2 linked regions of the Zea mays genome follow. The protein of the gene in region 1 interacts with the protein of each later gene in a pairwise test. Links are inferred from orthologs where the notes say so. Each region holds a gene or a part of one and is shown in the gene's direction. Other genes may lie near its edges. The genes, in order: DNA topoisomerase 6 subunit A3-like and DNA topoisomerase 6 subunit B.

Region 1 (9,362 bases):
CACGGATCCGCCGGTGTATCACACCGTCGCCCTCTGCCAGGACCCTGGGCATGTCCACCCGATGGTCACGCGACGGGCCGCTGGTGTCCTCTGGCCTGTCACTCGACTAGTCCTCTCGGCATCGACCTCTCCTCATCTCTCACCCGAGCCGTTGTCTGCCCGTGGTGCGCTCGTCGGCCCCAACTGGTGTCGCGCCATGGAGTACAGGGCCCTCTAGCGAACCATACCTCGGATCTTCAGGCACAAGCTGAAGGCAGATGGGTCTCTGGATCGGTACAAGTCTCGTTGGGTCCTACCGGGTTTCACCCAACGTCCCAGGGTGGACTATGAAGAGACCTTCAGCCCCGTGGTGAAGGCTGGCACCATCCGGACCGTTCTGACTTTGGCTCTCTCACGGGCTTGGCTGGTGCATCAGCTCGATGTCAAGAATGTCTTCTTCCATGGCACCCTGACATAGACGGTGTACTGCTCTCAGCCGGTGGGCTTTGTGGACCCGGCTCACCCCGACATGGTCTGCAAACTCAACTGGTCCCTCTACGGTCTCAAGCAGGCTCCTTGCGCCTAGTAAAGTCGCTTCATCACCTTCTTGCTCTCAAAGGGCTTTGTTGAGGCCAAGGCTGACACCTCCATGTTCGTCTTTCACCATGGCATGATACTGCCTACCTCCTCTACGTCAACGACATCGTCCTCACGGCCTCCTCCCTCGACCTCCTGCGGCACATCATCACCTCTCTTCAGCAGGAATTCTCCATGAAGGACCTGGGTAAGTTGGACCACATCCTGGGGATCACTGTTGAGCGTCAGCCCCAGGGCCTGTTCCTCCACCAGTGCCAGTACACTGTTGACATCCTCAAGCGAGCTGGCATGGCTGATTGTAATCCCTGCTCGACTCTGGTGGACACTCAGGGCAAGGTCTCCACCGACGCCCGCTCTCCGGTGGCTGATCCGACCAGTTATCAGAGTCTTGTCGGAGCATTGCAGTACCTTGTCTTCACCCATCTCGACATCGTCTATGCTGTCCAGCAGGTGTGCCTTCATATGCACGCCCGCAGGAGCCGCATCTCACCGCTACGAAGCGGATCCTTCGGTACCTCCAAGGCACCACCGACTTCGGCCTTCTTCTTCGCCGACCTACGACCACTGACCTCGTCGTCTACACCGACGCCGATTGGGGTGGTTGTCCCAATACTCGTCGGTCCACTTCCTGTTTCGTCGTTTTCCTTGGCGACAACCTCGTCTCCTGGTCTTCGAAGCGGTAGCCCATCGTCTCCCGCTCCAGCGCCGAGGCCGAGTATCGCGCAGTGGCTAGCGCCGTCGCCGAGGCGGCGTGGCTTTGTCAGCTGCTCTAGGAGCTACACAGTCCGCTGACGCGGAGCACCCTTGTCTATTGTGACAACGTCAGCGCCATGTACCTCTCCACCAACCTCGTCCAGCATCAGCACACGAAACATCTCGTGCTGGACCTCCACTTCGTTCGCGAGTGGATTGCTGTTGGAGACGTGCGGGTTTTTCACGTCCCGACCACTTCTCAATTTGCCGACATCTTCACCAAGGGCCTCCCTACGTCGGTGTTTGAGGAGTTTCGGTCCAGTCTCAACATCTCCCGTGGCTAGAGTTTCGATTGCGGGGGGTGTTAGTATCTGTGTATTCCTTGTAATGGGCTCTTGTGTAACGGGCTTAGGTCCATTGACTCTATCATAAATACAACACCCAAGTGGTTGATGTTGCTTTTACCATGACTTGGTGTGGCCGTATGCAAGCATATATACAACTCATGAAGGTAATCACAGACCTGGGACTGAAATTTACGTTCGGCAGGTAAAGCGTGTGTCCTACTTTTTGTTTGGAAACGAAATCAAGTACTGATTTAAGTTAGGGTATCACCTAGGCGATAAGGCACATCCAAATCACCATATGAGTATATGACGCTTTGCTGCCTTAAGAGCCGTGATTTGGGTGTTTCGTGATGAACTGTCCGATAATAAATAAGCTAAGTAAAAACGCACAGCTGGATCCTTTTCTTTATTTCTTTTTTGCATAAATGTGAAAAATAATTGTTCTCTTGATTTCCTGGTAGGTGTTTAAGTGTGTAAATCTGTGACGATGTGTTTTCTGATTCATACTTTCTAGTGCAAAACTCGAACTACTGTCCACTGTATGACAAATCTGGTGATTTACATTACAGAAGTGTATGCTGACCCTACTCACTCATCGTATGACGCTCTTGAATTTGCATTCGGGTTGTTCTCCACCTTTACGCCCGCGGTAACCCTTATACTGGACATAAATTTTGCATGCTGTGTAGTTTATGTTCCCCAACCCCAACGTATACATAAACGGTTCTTTCCATCATTTCATAGGCTGGCCTCAAGATAATACAGTTGTACAGGGAAGGATACAGGCAGGACTGGGAATTGTCATTCGAGAAGAACACCAGGACAAAAGGCGGATGGTATGTTTGCCTTCTGGCTTCGCCTTTTTGCTGTTGTAAACCCGAAATTCGAGTTGGCTGTTAGAGTTTTTGCAATTGTCTTTATAGCATTGATACATTGCATTTTCTCTAGGTATCAAGGGGGGTTAATTGTTGCAGGTCCAGGTATCGATAACATCCTGTACATCCACAAGGTCAGTGCCCCTTTTACGAAAACTTTGTACCGCTTGTTCTGATTATAAAGTACGTATATATAATCAATAGGGGCAAACCCCTTCTGTTCTCCCCATGAAAAAAGAATACTATCATACTATGACACTGTCACACTGAATGCAACTTCTCTTTTCTGGTATCTCTTTTAACAGGACAAAGAAGCCGGAGATGATCCTGACATGCAGGATGTGTTGAGAGCTTGCTGTTCCTAGAAAATCAGTGTGCCCCACGACCACACAGTCACTCTATATCTCGTTGTAAAAGTCAGGTTGTAATCAGCCCTCAATCTTCAGCGATCCTGTTCAGGATGCATGGGCTCTCTTTTTTCGTAACATACGACGCACGGGGAACCTTACGTTTATGTTTTGGTAGCAAGGGGGAAAGGATTGTAAGGGCTAGAATCCCCTTGCTATTTAATTCTGAGTAACAAGAGGATTTTAGCCCCTCAAATTCCTTTTATTTTTCTTGCTCCCAAACAAGCTCGTGCGTGTACATAACATATGTATGGTTCTGTATAGAAATCGATGAAGTTCTGAGTATCTGCTAGGAATAATATATAGGACGTACGAGACTCGTTGTTGTTGATGTTCTGCGAGACTCGTTGATGTTCTGTGTGTGTATACATGAGCATGTAGCCCGAGGCTCTTTTTTTTGCCCGACTGGGTTCGTGCCTGGGCCGGACCGCCACAATAAACGAGGCCATGCTTGGGCTATCCATAGTGCTTGCTGCGCGACCCGGCCCGCCAGAAAACAGCAGGCACGGGGCCGCCTCGGTGTCGGGGTGCAGGGCATAAGGCACACACGACATCCCCCTTCCCCTCGTCTCATCCCAGTGTCCCACTCCCACACGGCTTCTCCTGCTCCTCTCCCCACTCGATTCGTTTGTTCGTGGTCTGCCCGTCGCGCCGTCTTTGCCTCGCTGTTGTTGTCGCCACCATCGAAATTTCATCACCGGCGACATCGGCGGGTCTCCTACACTCCTTTTGTGCGGCTTGCCCCTCTCTGGCTCTCCCTCGGTCCCTCCCTAATCCAGAAATCCCTAACCCAAATCTCGTCGTCGTCGGTTATCGGCTCGTCAAGCGTCGTTGTGCACTAGATCCTTGTCTCCGGCTTTGAGCTCCGGCTAGGCAGGTACGTCCCTCTTCGGCTCTCCCTCTCCAATCGGCAATCCCTAACCCTAATCTCCTCTTCGCTGCTTGCTTGTGGGCTTTGGTAGGTCATCGGCCGACTACGTCGTGGTCGTGCTAGTGCCGCCAAGGCCGTTGAGGTACGGAGCCGAGAAGGGGGGCTACGTCGTGAATTCTGATCTAATTTGATATCACCCTTTGGCTTGTAATAAATTTGAACATTTGAATTATAAACTGAGTTGGTCGTACTTTTTTCCTTTCTAGGGTTTCTCACGAGGTATGAGTTTTACCTATAAAGGTTTTTAACGAGACAACATTGCATTAACAACTCAAATTTTGTGTATATTTTGTTCAAATTGTGTTGGATGTTGAAATTGTGCATGTTTTTGTTCAAATTGTGTTTTCGTGCTAGCTCGACACTCTATTTGGCTAGGGCTTTTCGGGCTGGCTTGACCCGAAAAAATGGTTCAAAGGGATGTGCCCACGCATGATTGTGCATGCTTGGCCCGATAGACCCGTGGGCCTGGTCATGTCGTGCCTTGGCATGAGCCCAGGTCGTATCGTGCCGAGCATGACTAGTTTGCTCATCTATAGTTTTGTGTCATTGCGGCCTTGAGCCCATAAGCTATTCGGCCCATTAGCTTAGCCCAGCCGAGACGCCGCGCGCGGCACAGCCCTCCTCCGGTACTCGGTCAGTCGGTCCTCCACACTCCTCACCAGTCACCACCAGACCAAATCGCAGCCGCGCTCGAGCTAAGCCCCGCCGCCGACGCCGTCATCTGCGCCCCAGAACCCCGTATTTCCCTCCGCCGCCTTCCGATCTCTCGCTCCTCCCCATGTCGGAGAAAAAGCGCCGCGCCGGTGCGAGCGCGGCCGGCGCCGCATCCAGCTCCAAGAAGCCGCGTGCTTCCTCGGCCGCGTCGTACGCCGAGTCCCTCCGCTCGAAGCTCCGCCCCGACGCCTCCATCCTGGCCACCCTCCGCTCCCTCGCTTCTGCCTCCGCTTCCAAATCCAAGGCCGCCGCCAGGTCCCTCGCGGACCACGACCCGTGCGCGGACCCCGCCTCCTCGTACATCGTGGTGGCCGACCAGGACTCCACCTCCGTCACCTCCCGCATCAACCGCCTCGTCCTTGCCGCCGCGCGCAGCATCCTCTCCGGCCGGGGCTTCTCCTTCGCGGTGCCCTCGCGCGCCGCCTCCAACCAGGTCTACCTCCCGGACCTCGACCGCATCGTGCTCGTCCGCCGCGAGTCCGCGCGCCCCTTCGCCAACGTCGCCACCGCGCGCAAGGCCACCATCACGGCGCGAGTCCTCTCCCTCGTCCACGCCGTCCTCGGCAGGGGCATCCACGTCACCAAGCGTGACCTCTTCTACACCGACGTCAAGCTCTTCGGCGACCAGACCCAGTCTGACGCCGTCCTCGACGACGTCTCCTGCATGCTCGGATGCACCAGGTCCTCGCTCCACGTCGTCGCCTCCGAGAAGGGCGTCGTCGTCGGCCGCCTCGTCTTCGCCGACGACGGGGACCGGATCGACTGCACGCGCATGGGCGTCGGCGGCAAGGCCATTCCGCCCAACGTCGACAGGGTCTCGGGCATCGAGAGCGACGCGCTCTTCATCCTCCTGGTGGAGAAGGACGCTGCATTCATGCGACTCGCCGAGGACAGGTTCTACAACCGCTTCCCCTGCATCATTCTGACGGCCAAGGGGCAGCCAGATGTCGCCACCCGGCTGTTCCTGCGGAGGCTCAAGGTTGAGCTGAAGCTGCCAGTGCTCGCGCTGGTGGATTCCGATCCATACGGGCTCAAGATCTTGTCGGTGTACATGTGTGGTTCCAAGAACATGTCGTATGACAGTGCCAATCTGACGACGCCGGACATCAAGTGGCTCGGTGTCCGGCCGAGCGACCTGGACAAGTACAGAGTGCCGGAGCAGTGCCGTCTCCCCATGACCGATCACGATATCAAGGTGGGGAAAGAGCTGCTCGAGGAGGACTTCGTGAAGCAGAATGAGGGCTGGGTGAAGGAGCTGGAGACGATGCTTCGCACCAAGCAAAAGGCTGAGATACAGGCCCTCAGTTCCTTCGGGTTCCAGTACCTCACTGAGGTCTACCTGCCTCTTAAGTTGCAGGAGCAGGATTGGATTTGAGAACTCTCCAATGCTAGGTACGAGATCTTTGGTCTTGTTCGCGTCACTTTGTTCATTGCTGCCCACGCTCGGCTTGATATGGTTATTAGTGCATTTCACCAAGTACACAGCACAACACAACACTTAGGCACCTTTCCTCATGAGTGAATTAGCAACACAGAGATCCAGATTGTTCAGTCAAATGTATCAGTTAACCAAGACTGTCATTATACCTGATATTGTGTTTGTACATGCAGATATCAGTAATTTCCCTAGCCAAGATAATGCCCTCCTCCGCTCAGTATTTTCAAGGACCAAATTGGCATGAATGAAGACTTCGCTATCTAGTTAATCACATGTATTTTTGAACACCAGCTGTTGTATTATTTATTTCTGCTGGAGAACTGTTCTGTGGAAAACATTGCTGCCAGATATGTGCTGGAATTTGATACATAACACAGGTGATTTAAATTGGTTCGGCCTCTTATCTGGTCGAACTTTGGTTGTTCTGTGTCCTATATTTCTGTAGGGCTTATTAGTTCCGTGTTTGACATGGAAATGGGATAACCCGGATTGAATGAAAATGTACTGGAAATTGATATATAGCAGTATGAAAATCCATGCATGATGTCTTTAGAAACATGACAATTAAATTCAATTACCCTGTTTTCATATGTACACCCAATCCTAGAATAACTGTACCAATTTATTGTATAGTAAATGGACCAAAAGGCTATTGTAAGAAAATGTCACACTGCAATCCTTGCGGCTTTCTTCTTCAACCAATGGTTCAGTGAGTTAATAGGGATTTTTATCATTCCCTGTGGTCTCCTAGTGAATTCTTTGGATATTTGCTCTAAATTACCTCTAGATTTTGTTGGTGCTTTGGATTTTGATGAAACAGGAGGGCGGCTTCCAGGTTCAATCAAAACTAATTTCAACTTCAGCTCTTGCCTGCACGACATCAACTGCACTAGTTTCAGTAATTATTGCCTGCACGATGTCAACTGCAGTAGTTTCAGCTTCAGCTCTTGATGTCTTCTCATGATCCGTGATGATAATACGAAGTGGCAGCTCAACATGACCTAGGAGGTATTGCTCTTTGATCTTCCGAAGAACAGATAGAACAATTCGAGCTTCAACCTGCAGAATACATGGTATTATGGATTACGGTAAGCACAAAAAACATAGTGATGGTTTCTGTAAATATCGCTATTCAAAATCAGTCATTATGTTCATGTAGCAGATCATCTGCATATCATATAGCTTGAATTAGTTGGATGTCATTTATTACCTTTTGGAAGGCCACAAACATCGACAATTTGGTTCTGATCAGCATCTTTTTGCAAGACTTACGACTTTCTCAAGAAACAGGTTGAAAGATTCTTTCCTGTTAGGTTGTAGATCCAAATTGTAAAAATCTTGATTATCACTGCCATTAGACAACTCGTCACGCAATTCCACTATTAAAATTCCTTGAGATAATGATCATTTGTCTGATACCTGGAGTGGGAAATCTTTTAAAATTCAAAAACAAAGGGAAATCCTAGTCATTCTCACAATGTCAGTCTATCAGAAAATAGGCTGTCAGTATGTTTCCTACAATGGAACAGTGGAATTAGAAGCGGTAGATACCTCATGAGATAACAACTAAAGCTTCAGTGGATTACATGCTCTGGTGATACCTGTCTGTTGTCAAAATAATTGTAGTCTGAAGCACTTCTAGTTTTCCATTATCTATGGTGTATTCCATGAATTTTACATTGGGACATTTGTATCAGATAAACACTTGTTTATTTAATACAATCACGAGTTACTGCAAAGCAGCAATCTTATAATATGGAACGAGTAGAGCTGTTGAGTCAAAAGCACTTGTTCTGACTTAAAAGGTATAAAAGAAACAATTCTTCTAGCCACATACCCTTCTTTCCTCATTTCCTGGTATATTGTGCTAAACACTGCTGGGCCTCCTGTGGGGATCCATAATTGTTGCTTGTACGTCACCTGAAAATGAACTATTGTGTCATATGCTATTTTTTTTACTCGAACGTGCAGGAAAGACGGTCCAACAATATGCAGAACAGAGCAATTTATATAGATCGAATTTTTGCAGGTTGTATAGAGCAAACCGTTTGACCATGCCAAGTATCATATCATACCGTTTGTTGAGCCCAAAAACGGGCAGGCCGACGGTCCGGCCCTATAGGTCGGACCATCCGCGGTGACGGCGCGACCAGTCCGTGTGTGCAAAGAATTAGTTAGGGTTTCGATATTCTAGCGGAATTTGTTGGCAAAACATACGAGATTAACTTGGAAACCGACTTGTAAAAGATTTAGAACTCCTTCCTTTATATAGATAAAAGGCTAGGACTGATTGAACCCCCACAATCAATACAATTAACTCTACTTATCGTTTTACCTTATGCATTAGTGGTGGCTCTAGTTTAGCCCTATTTTAGCCTCTCTCTCTACCTCAAAATCTTCACCTCTCTTTGGCTCTACGTCGATTAGAGATGTTTTGGGTGGCCTGTCGACGCCAAGACACACTCTAGGTTCTCTTCTCCCCGACGGGATCCCTCTCCCGGGATGCGAGATCAAGGTCTGCTGCGAAGATGATGACGCTATGCGCCATCGCGGATCGTTCGAACCTCAGGAGCAGATTGTCCGGACGTACGCAGAGGAGGAGCCGCTCTTGCGCCAGGTCGCGGACCGTCTGACCCTGTGCCGCAGACCGTCTGTGCCTCCGCAGAGAGCACCGCCAGGTGGTTCGTTCCAATGTTTGTCGCCTAGATCGGCGCCGACACACTTTTTGGCGACTTCGCTGGGGAACAAGTGTCAAGAACTACTAAAAATCAGGCTCTCAAATGGCCGGTTCTAAAGATCACACCGATATCTCCCTAGACAATGCCCTGAAACCAGCTGTTGAAAGTCTGATGCCCGATAAGAAACAACAATACGAGGACTACATGCGTCAAGCAAAGGAGAAAATTCTTGTCACAATACACGGTGGATCGCCACCAGAAGGTTGTTAAACATGGAGAGACTGATGTCGCATCTTTTCTATCTTCGCTTCAAGTCCCCAACGTAAGTGAAAGGATCACGATGCCTAAGTGGGGGCGTGAATTGAGCTTTTCTAAAATTTTAACAAAAGATTAAACCCTAAGCATGAGCCCAACTTCATCCAAACTACTATCATGAAGTAAAAGCTATGAAATAGAGAACGACCTTAAGTCATTATTGTAAATACTAGCTAAGCAAAAATAAACAAAGTAAAATGCTCAAAGTAAATGCGGAAAGTAAAGTTTGGACAAGAAGATTCCTCCAATTTTTCCCGAGGTATCAAAGAGTCAACACTCTACACTAGTTCTTGTTGGAGCACTCGCGCAAGGTTATCGCTTCCCCTTAGTCCTCGCAAAAACCAAGTGTTCAATATAAGATAATCTTTTGCCTCTCTTGCGTGGTGGA
Region 2 (9,739 bases), on another chromosome or scaffold:
GCGGTGGCGAAAAATGGCGAGTGACAGTGCTGCTTCCGCGGGCAGCAGGCATGGAGCGCGAGAGGAAGAAATGGAGTGTGGGAATCACATAAACAGCGGCGTGGGGTGGCAAATTATAGGTTGGGAGGAGGAAATGGCGCTGGACAAAGAGGAATCGAAGGATCGACCATTAATGGCATTGTGGCAGTGAGAAGGGAGAAACAATCGAATTCAACAAGAGAGATGAAAGGGAAGAGATGGCGGTGGCGCGACTGTAGTGCTCCACTGCAGCAGCTGGGGAGGAGCGGAGAGTGGAGGCTGAGTGGTGCACGAGTGACGACGACGCAGCGTTACTGGAGAGACGGACGAACACGAGCAGGAAAATCATCATGTGACTATGTGAGGAAGAAGAAAGAAATGACACATATGTGGACCCTACGTGTAAGAGAGAGAAGAGAGGGAGAGTTAGGAACACGGGATGGGCAATGGGGTCATTCAGCCGATCAGTCATTTTTCTTTGTTTTTTAATTCAGAAAATATACTTAAATATATATAAATATATATTTAAATATTCCAAAACAAAATCATAATAAATCTAAAAAATAAAAATACCCAAATCTTAGAATAAACATTTTAGACAAAAATCTATTTTTAAATAAATTTGGTTCACAAAAGGGATAAAATCAATAAAATGTTATTTGTTGTGCTTTTTGTGAATACTCACAACAAAAGTTATTAACATAATAAAATACACATTAAAAAATATTGTTGTAACAATTCATTATTACTTATAAAACAAGATCATTCTCACACAACTAAATCCAAGAATTGGATTTGAAATTCAAATCAAACAAAATATATGCTTCGACAAGAATGCATCAAACACTTTGATAAAATTTTACTATTTAAGAAATTGTTCAATTTAATTATATCACCATTTCTTTATTTGCTAATATAAATATTTTTTCTTTCTACTGGTAATTAATAATATAAACTTTGTTTTTTCAAATGATGGATTTGGGATGTTACAGTTTGATAAAAGATGTGTTTTCTTCTTAACCATTGGATTCAAGCACATGAATTGATGTTATGTCCTTCTTTAGGCTTGAATACATGTCAATAATGCACAAGTCACATTGTTTTTGAGTTGTGTTAAATGATCAGGATGGGAATGGAGACAAAGTGGTCACCCTGCTTGGTCGGACAACCTAGTTGTCGGCGACGTGGCTTTGGCCAGGCGACCACCATTCTTTCTCCATTGTCGATTCTTGTAATTTGGTGGTGTCATGCATAAAATTATCATACACAACTCGTGGAACCTATTAGATAACACAAATTTGGTCCCATAGAACTCCTTAAACACAAAATGTTGGTGGTCACAACACGTTTTTATGTCCACCATAAATAAGATGGTCGCTTTCAGACAATTTATGTCGTTTAGATGCTAGATTCATAGATTTCTTATATGGTCATGTTGAAGCCTATAAAGACAATTTATGACTTAGGACAATTTGTTTTATCATCATTGTTGAAGCCTATAAAGAGTCATGTTACTATATGCGGTGATATTCATGGACAATTTCATGATCTTGTTGAACTCTTTCCGAACTGGTGGAAATGTACCTCATTATTTTCTGTTCGTTTGCTTCTGTCACTTCTTTGATTTAATAAAGAAAACATGAGTATTCCAATATTTCGAAACTTCCACTTTTACCATTGTCCAAATACAAACTACCTGTTTATGGGAGATTATGTTGATCATGGTTACTACTATGTCAAAATTATCACTGTGAGTGTAACTCACATGGCTTTATGTTATCACCATCAACATATTCATCTACCCATAGTGGTCATGGGCAGTATAGATGTGCAGTGGGCACTCTATTGAAAAGCATATCATATTTGCCTTTTGTTGTTCCTACTTCAAATCTCTAAATTGCAGAACTTCACTAATTATTGGCACTAATTTCATACACCACAAACAAACAACTTTTGGTGGCTTTAAAAGTTCGATGTCATAAGAGGACCACCATTTTCAGAGGAAACCATGAAAGCCGACATGTATACAATTTTTTGTTTGACAAATTGTTCATGTTTCGCAGCGTACCTCACACCTCCCGTCATGGAGTCGATCATCCTCCGCCTTCTGTCCTATGGCCACACGCTCGACTTCTTCCACCACTCATACTATCCCCTCAATGCCATGGCGTCACTCCTGCCACCACACTAACATGTGTACCTCGACCACCTCGCCACAGATGTGCTCGCCTCTCACTGCTCCATGACGTACGACGTATTGGGTTCCTCCTTCGCCGCCTTGGCACTACTCGCGCCTTCTATACATTGTTGTCCATGTCTTTGATGCAGCGACTACGACGCTTAGCTACGCCCCAAACTTATACATGTACAACTGCCTCCTCGAAACGCTCGCCAAGGTCGGCCGCACGAAAGGCGCCTAGACATAGTTGTAGGAGATGGTGGCGAGGTGCAGTGATGAGAGGGTAGATAACTAGATAAATCGTGCGCGTGTCGTCCTAAAGAGCGTGCGCTATGTTACAGAGAATGAGTGAGAGGGCACGTGTTGACGATGCTTATTGTGTCGTTCAACAAGTGGGGAAACATGGAGGATGTAGTTGAGTTGCTTAGGGGGATGGAGGCACTTGACATGTGACAAGCGAGAACACATTGAGCGTTTTGATACCTAGATTTGCTAGGCAGCGGAGGGTTGATGTGGCATGGATATGTTTGGTAAGATGGCCAGTTATTGATTCAGTCTGGATTTGGTGATGTATAATGTGTTAATTGAGGGACCATGTCATGGAAATGAGATGAGGAAGGCTGTGAAATTGCTCAAGTATATGAAGAGGGATAGGGTTACACCTGATGTTCGCTTGCTCAAGATGATAATAGAAGCATTCTGTAGGTTAGGAGATTTCTCTACTGTTGGCCCATTCATTAATGAAAATGTAGCGTATTTGAAACCCAACAATGTTGTTCTATTGTATAATAATGTGATTCTTGAAGGTCTTATTAACCATGGAGAGGTAGAAGCAGCATGTCAGTTACTCAACTCCATGGTGCATGGTGGTCAGAGGGTTAGTGATGACGATACTGTTGGTGTGCATATTTTTATTATCAATGAAGAAGTTGAACCAAACTTTGATTTGTTTAATATTGTTGTGTCTGGCCTTTGTGAGACTAGATCTAGCTTTGGCTCTCACAAAAACATGGTTGGCCTTGGTTGCAAGGGAAAGTTTTTGGTGTTTAATGATTTGATACTTGAATTGTGCAATTTGGATAAACCAGAAGCGAAGGATCTTGCGAGTAATACACAAAAAAGATAGAATATAACTCTCCATTCAAATGGATTGCTAGAGTCACTTGGGCGTGTTTGGCATGGTTCTGTTCCACTTCAGAGTAGCTCTACTCTAAAACTCTGGGTGGAGCAGCTCCGCTCTAGAGTTTAAATTGTTTCTCATAACCAGTGACAGTTAAATAACTCTAAACTCCACGTCTAGGTTGTTTTTAGAGTTTTCGGAGCAGCAAAGCAGGTACTCCAAAAATTTGTACTACAACTCTGAAAATTCCATTGAGTTTGTAACCCTGGAGTTAGAGTGAACTTCTTCTTAGAGTTCTACTCCGGAGCCATGCCAAACACGCACTTAGTCGTCCCAACACATTGATATATACTTTCACCTAAAATTTAGGGGGTGTTTTTTTTGGATTACAATCTATCCAGATTATATAATCCGACAAATTAAACAAAAATGATCTCGGTAGACTATAATCCCAAAAAATACCCCCTTTAGAGCAATAATTCTCTAAAACTAAATCAATAATTTAGGTAGTTAATATAAAAACTCTTCTCCAACAGTTCTCTAAACGAGTTTTATAAATTTAGCAGTTCTTATCTAACCTCATTTTCTCTCTATATTTGACAACTATTTAGCAACTCACTAAACAAAAATGTTGACTGCATTATGTAGTTAATGGAGATGATTGTTCACATTTGTGTCTTATTTTTTATGTGGATAGATACAAAAAAACTTCAAATTATATTTAGAAAACTACTAGAGAACTCATAATTCTTTACTCCTAAAGTTATTTAATAACTTATTAAATCTATGATTTAGATAGCTAAATTTATATAATTATTGGAGCTGCTCCTAGCTGGATAAAATTCCGTTAGGTGGAACCATTAGTTTGGAAACATCATTTTTCTCTCAAGAAGATGTTTTCACCCTAAACGGGCAAAAACCAGTTTTCGTAAAAGTCGGCGTTGTTGATTGATTATTACTTAAAAAATGCCATTTTTTCAACCATGATTTATGTCGAGTGTCTAATTTCTTATGGACCATTTCGATACATCTGGTACGATAGTCCGCCCAAAGTCCCAAACGGACCCACATTTGGCTCAGACTTTTGAGAGATCGCGCTCTCCAATTTTGCACCCGAACCCTAGCTACCGTCTCAATTAGATCCGACCTCGCCATGAACACCTCCGACGACGAGGCCATTGCCGCCGCTGCCGAGACCAAGAAGAAGACTCCCAAGGCGGCGGCGGCCAAGGGGAAGGCAACGGGGAAGGGGAAGGCGGCCGCCGGCCCCAAGACGTCGGCCAAGGAGAGCAGCCTCCTTAAGCAGAGTGAGCTCCCTCCCCGATCCCATTTCTCATTAAGATTTTCAGTACTTTGGGTCGGTTTATCTTATACATTTTGTATCTTTTCTGGGTGTTCTGCTGCAGAATCGCCCGCCGAATTCTTCGCTGAGAACAAGAACATTGCCGGGTTTGACAATGTGAGTTGTTCTCTAAGGACTTTTAGCCGATTTGGGTGCAACAGCTAGATTTCGTGCGTTTGCGAAATTTAGCTAGAATCAGTGTGGAGATGCCCTGTTATCTTGTCGACAGATAATTTCACTTCTTTATTTTCCTTCTGGTTCAAGCACATTCTTATCTATAGATTAAACTTAGACCACATCTGGCAGTGGGAAACAAACAAAAACTATGATTAAAGGATATTACTCATTCTAGTTGTAGTACACTTTTGAGGAGGAAATTTATAAGATACTATCGTAGTCATTATTTCACAGAGATACTGATGTAATGGTGCTGGTCAGCCTGGTAAATCCCTGTACACCACGTTGCGGGAGCTAGTTGAGAATGCCCTTGATTCCGCCGAATCCATATCGGAGCTCCCTGAAATAGAGATTACAATGTAAGTAATCCCCAAATGTATTCTTTGTGGTCTTTTGCTATGTTGCCGTACGGGACAGTGCCCATAAGTTTGTTTTGCCATATCTTTGTCAGAGAAGAGATCACGAAGACCAAGTTCAACACAATGATTGGGCTAGTGGATCGACAGCGTGTTGACGAGGCACTATATGATGATTTTGAGTCAGAAAAGGCTCGTGAGGTAAGATGAGCACCTAGGTTTGTAGTAGTTTGACCATGGATGATGTGTTGAGAGGGGTGAGACTTCACAAACTTACCTCTTTGTATTATCATAATTTTAAGTCTGATGAAGCTGTATGATTCACAATACTTAGAAACGCCTAGCCAAGGAAGCACGTTTCCAAGAATCTCAGGCTAAAAATGCTGCACTTGGGAAGAAAGTTAAGGATGCTCCATCTGTTCGAGGAAAAGGTCGGGGTGAGGCTGCATTTTTCAAAGTGACTTGCAAGGTATTGTTGTGACAATGTGATTTATGATATACCCGATGAGAATATATTTTCTTAACTTTGATCTTTATTATTCCCCCCTTACGGATGCAGGATAATGGTAGAGGTATGCCACATGATGATATCCCAAATATGCTTGGGAGAGGTAAGTTTTTAATGGTATATTTAATCCGTAATTGCTGAATTCAAACAGTTTGGTCCTTTCTTACTTGGAGAGGAGATAGTACCACGATGTCCAATATCATTGGAGTTATTTACATTGGTGCAGTTTTGTCGGGCACAAAGTATGGTTTGAGGCAAACACGTGGGAAATTTGGACTCGGTGCTAAAATGGTAATTTTTTTTTGCGTACACAATTGAGAAGAAGCTTTCTAAATTGTATGTTGCTGTGGACTATTGTTTTGTATCTTTTTGATAGTTAAGAATGAATGCAAACAGTTAGTTGATTCTGCATTGTCATGAAATGTTGAAGTTGTTTCCTTTCTATTCCTTGGGAATGACTGTCTTTGTGTTTGCAACTTTGCATTAGATTGTGCAAGTGTGCAACCAAGCAATACTCGTCTTATGCTGTTTGTCATGGTACTTTTATTTCATTTTCTACATAGCCATGTAAAACTTTCATCATAACTAAAGTAAAATGTTACAATCATAATAGCAATTTGTTTGCAGTTGGCATAATCATCCTTTTCTTTCACTTTGACTATACCTTTAAGTGTGTAGTGGGATCCTAGGGCATGATAATAATGCGAAGAGAGGCATGAAAAAACCGAAGTTGACATGGGAAGAGACAGTAAAAGGAGACTTGAAAGGATGGATTATACCTAATGATTTAGCCTTGAATAGGAGCAAATGAAAAACAACTATCCACGTGCACGAACCTTGATTTGTGGCTTCTGCTGGGTTTTTAACTCTAGCCTACCCCAATTTGCTTAGGACTAAAATACTTTGCTGTTGTTGTTGATTATACCTTTAAGTGATTTATTATTACTTTGCCCTCTTGTTTGTTATTTCAAATTTGATGGTATTCTTTTGCTTAATCTATCCCATGCCTAAGAGATGCTCACCGTGTTTTGCCTCTGTAAAATAGCTTAATACAATAAACATGTGACCTATGATATTCTCATGGATTATTATTATTTTAGTGGCTCTAATGTTCTGTTTATCTTATAATTGTGGATTAGAACAGGCACTTATATGGTCAAAGATGAGTACAGGGCTTCCTATTGAAATTAAATCATCGATGAAAGGCCAGAACTATACTTCCTTCTGTCGCCTGGACATAGATATTCATAAGTAAGTACAGCTTGTTGGTTTGTGTGTCTGTTCAACACATGTACTGACTTAATATTGCTATTTATCTCTATTTATGTCCATGCTTATCAAGGCGTCCATTAAGCGTCGCCTTAGCGTCGCTTTAGCGCTAAGGCGCGCTCATAGGGCAAGACGTCTTGCTCGCCTTGCGCCGGGGAGTAAGGCGTCCGCCGCGGCATAAGGCGCCGGCGGGGCGTCAGCAGGGTGTTCTCGGGGCGTCAGCGGGGCGACGCTTAGGGGATAGGTAGGGTTTTGAAGGGCGACAGCTGGAAACAGAGAAGAGGGTTTGACCTGTGTCTGTGTGGCAGCTGCAGCTGCTGCCTCCTTCCTCGTCGGCGCGCAGTGCTCCGGCTATCGGAGGTGGGAGACTGCGGTGGAAGAACCGAGGGAGAGAGAGAGAGGAGAGCTGTGGGGGAGGGAGAGAGGGGACTGAAGAGAGATGCAGTGTGAGGGAGAGATAGAGGCTGGCATCTGTGACCTAAAACTGTGTTTTGGGCTGAGCTGGGCCGAGTTGGGCCGGACTCACTTGTTGTGAGGTTCTTTCTTTCCTTTTTTTTCTGCTTCTACTAGACTGAAATTGGACATATTAGACCTTATAAAAGTGCTAGCTTGCTTATTAACTTTAAATTAGTGATATATAAATAATGTTTGATCTCATTTTTTTTATATTTATCTATCTATATAACTAAGGCGTCACCTCGCCTTATGCTTTATCGCTTAAAAGATAAAAAGGGGGTCGGTCGCCTTATGTCGCCTTACCGCCTTAATAACTATGTTTATGTCAATTCGGTAACTTGTGCAGTTTACCATGACCCATTTTGGTGTATTCCATTTTTCAGAAATATCCCTCATGTCCATTTACATGAGAAAAGAGAGAACAAAACTCATTGGCATGGGGCAGAGATTGAAGTTATAATTGAGGGAAATTGGACAACTCATCGTGTGAGTAGCATGTTTTGGAACATTTGAAACAAGGAATTATTCTGTAAAGCTAAACATGTGATCTCTTTCATGCAGTCAAAGATCCTCCATTATATGCGTCAGATGGCAGTCATCACACCATATGCTCAGTTCCTTTTTAAATTTCTATCTGATGCGGCAGAGTAAGCATTTTGTTTATGGTTATCTATGTTGTGCAAAAGCTGTTGATATTTTTTTCATGAATGAAAATTTGTTTTCTGCAGCAAAAACTTAACAATAAAGTTTACACGCCGGACAGACGTTATGCCTCCTGTTCCACTTCAAACAAAGCATCACCCATCTGCGGTTGATTTGTTACTGATAAAACGCTTAGTTGCAGAGACTACAAAGCAAAATCTTTTACAGTTTCTACAACATGAGTTTGTGAACATAAGCAAACCGCATGCTGAACGTTTAATTGGTGAGTTTTATGATATGCATTATGGCTGACCTGGTTATCATAAACTAAAAAAATAACTAAATCAGTATAGTTTCTATCTGTTTTCAACACATCATGGACTACTTAGTCCAATTTTCCAGAATAGAACCTTTTTGGTGATCGTGAAGTTTCAATTGTTTATAATGTTGCTTTTCAAAGTATTCTACTCTCCACTAAAATCATTTACAACTCCTATTATAATCTATTTTGACTAAAAATGTAGTTGTATTGTTGTTATGTACTTTTATATTACTCTATTTCTAGGCTTTACTGTTCTTGTTACCAGTTCTATGTTTTAATATAACATATTTTTGATTTGGCAGGGGAGATGGGACCTGATTTCAGTCAAAAAATGGCAGTTAAGAGCCTTACTTCTCAGCAATTAGTTCGAATACATCAATTATTTAGGCAGGCTAAGTTCGATGATCCCAGCGGCAATGTATGCACTCCCTTCAACCTTTATTTGTCAGTTATTCATTGGTTGCTTTCATATGTGTAACTGGTCATTGTGGTATCGAAATCAACCAATTCTATAGTGTCTTAGTCCTGCGGGTGAATATAATTTACGCCTGGGTATCATAAAAGAGTTGCACCCTGATATGGTTGCGACACATGCAAGCAGGTATACCATTTTATTCAGACTGAATTCCAGAAGGCATTCCAATACTGCATATTTGAACAAACTAATAACATAATGTGGTCCTCTATTCAGCCCTCAGGTTTTTGAAGGTCACCCATTTATTGTTGAAGCTGGGATAAGCATTGGTGGAAAAGATGTTAAACAAGTAAATACTTAACTTTTCACTCTCTACAGCAACAACTATGCTTCTATTTTATTGTGTTAAAAAAGATTGTATAAACATGTATTTTGTTAGTCCTTTGTGGTTCCAGCAATTTTCGATGCTAGGCAAATAGCCCCTCAAACAGATCAGCAAGAACTCTCATACACAAACGAACTTAGCGGGTTTGGTGGCTGGAGTTACTTACCTCCTATACATATGTCTCTACCTCTCTCTCTCTCTCTCTCTCTCTATATATATATATATATATATATATATATATATATATATATATATATATATATATATATATACCAACACTATTTGTCACCTAGGTTGAAGCTTCATCCACTCAAGTAATTTTCGGTAATTACTAAACATTAGTCAATAATTACCGGATAATTACTGACTATCGTTTAGTAATTACCGAAAATTACTGAGTGAGTGAAGTTTCACTCTAGGTGTCAAATAGCATATATATATGGCATTATGGCAACATATCAGGTGCAATCCAATTTTCCATGCAAACCAAGTAATCAACTAACAAAAGTCACAAAAAATTCTCAAAAAAATTATAGATGTACTTCATTGC

The links.
Region 2: the proteins of DNA topoisomerase 6 subunit A3-like (region 1) and DNA topoisomerase 6 subunit B interact in binary tests that used the Arabidopsis thaliana proteins (3 or more experiments, as listed by UniProt). The link is inferred for Zea mays from reciprocal best matches to the Arabidopsis thaliana genes RHL2 and TOP6B.

What each region holds. Positions count from the first base shown.
Region 1 is NC_050096.1:43,344,513-43,353,874, forward strand, and holds DNA topoisomerase 6 subunit A3-like, read left to right. Parts: upstream 1-4,502; 5' UTR 4,503-4,607; coding exon 4,608-5,918; 3' UTR 5,919-5,935; intron 5,936-6,154; 3' UTR 6,155-6,570; downstream 6,571-9,362. Other genes in the region: Thioredoxin-like protein AAED1, chloroplastic, read left to right, coding at 2,186-2,265, 2,361-2,452, 2,565-2,625, 2,797-2,856. UniProt on the Arabidopsis thaliana protein: Component of the DNA topoisomerase VI involved in chromatin organization and progression of endoreduplication cycles. Relaxes both positive and negative superturns and exhibits a strong decatenase activity. Involved in cell-elongation processes.
Region 2 is NC_050102.1:81,024,242-81,033,980, forward strand, and holds the start of DNA topoisomerase 6 subunit B, read left to right. Parts: upstream 1-4,317; 5' UTR 4,318-4,470; coding exon 4,471-4,624; intron 4,625-4,723; coding exon 4,724-4,776; intron 4,777-5,070; exon of another isoform or gene 5,071-5,097; coding exon 5,098-5,195; intron 5,196-5,287; coding exon 5,288-5,393; intron 5,394-5,526; coding exon 5,527-5,661; intron 5,662-5,751; coding exon 5,752-5,803; intron 5,804-5,926; coding exon 5,927-5,991; intron 5,992-6,844; coding exon 6,845-6,951; intron 6,952-7,808; coding exon 7,809-7,911; intron 7,912-7,986; coding exon 7,987-8,072; intron 8,073-8,153; coding exon 8,154-8,350; intron 8,351-8,691; coding exon 8,692-8,807; intron 8,808-8,904; coding exon 8,905-8,990; intron 8,991-9,080; coding exon 9,081-9,153; intron 9,154-9,739. UniProt on the Arabidopsis thaliana protein: Component of the DNA topoisomerase VI involved in chromatin organization and progression of endoreduplication cycles. Relaxes both positive and negative superturns and exhibits a strong decatenase activity. The B subunit binds ATP.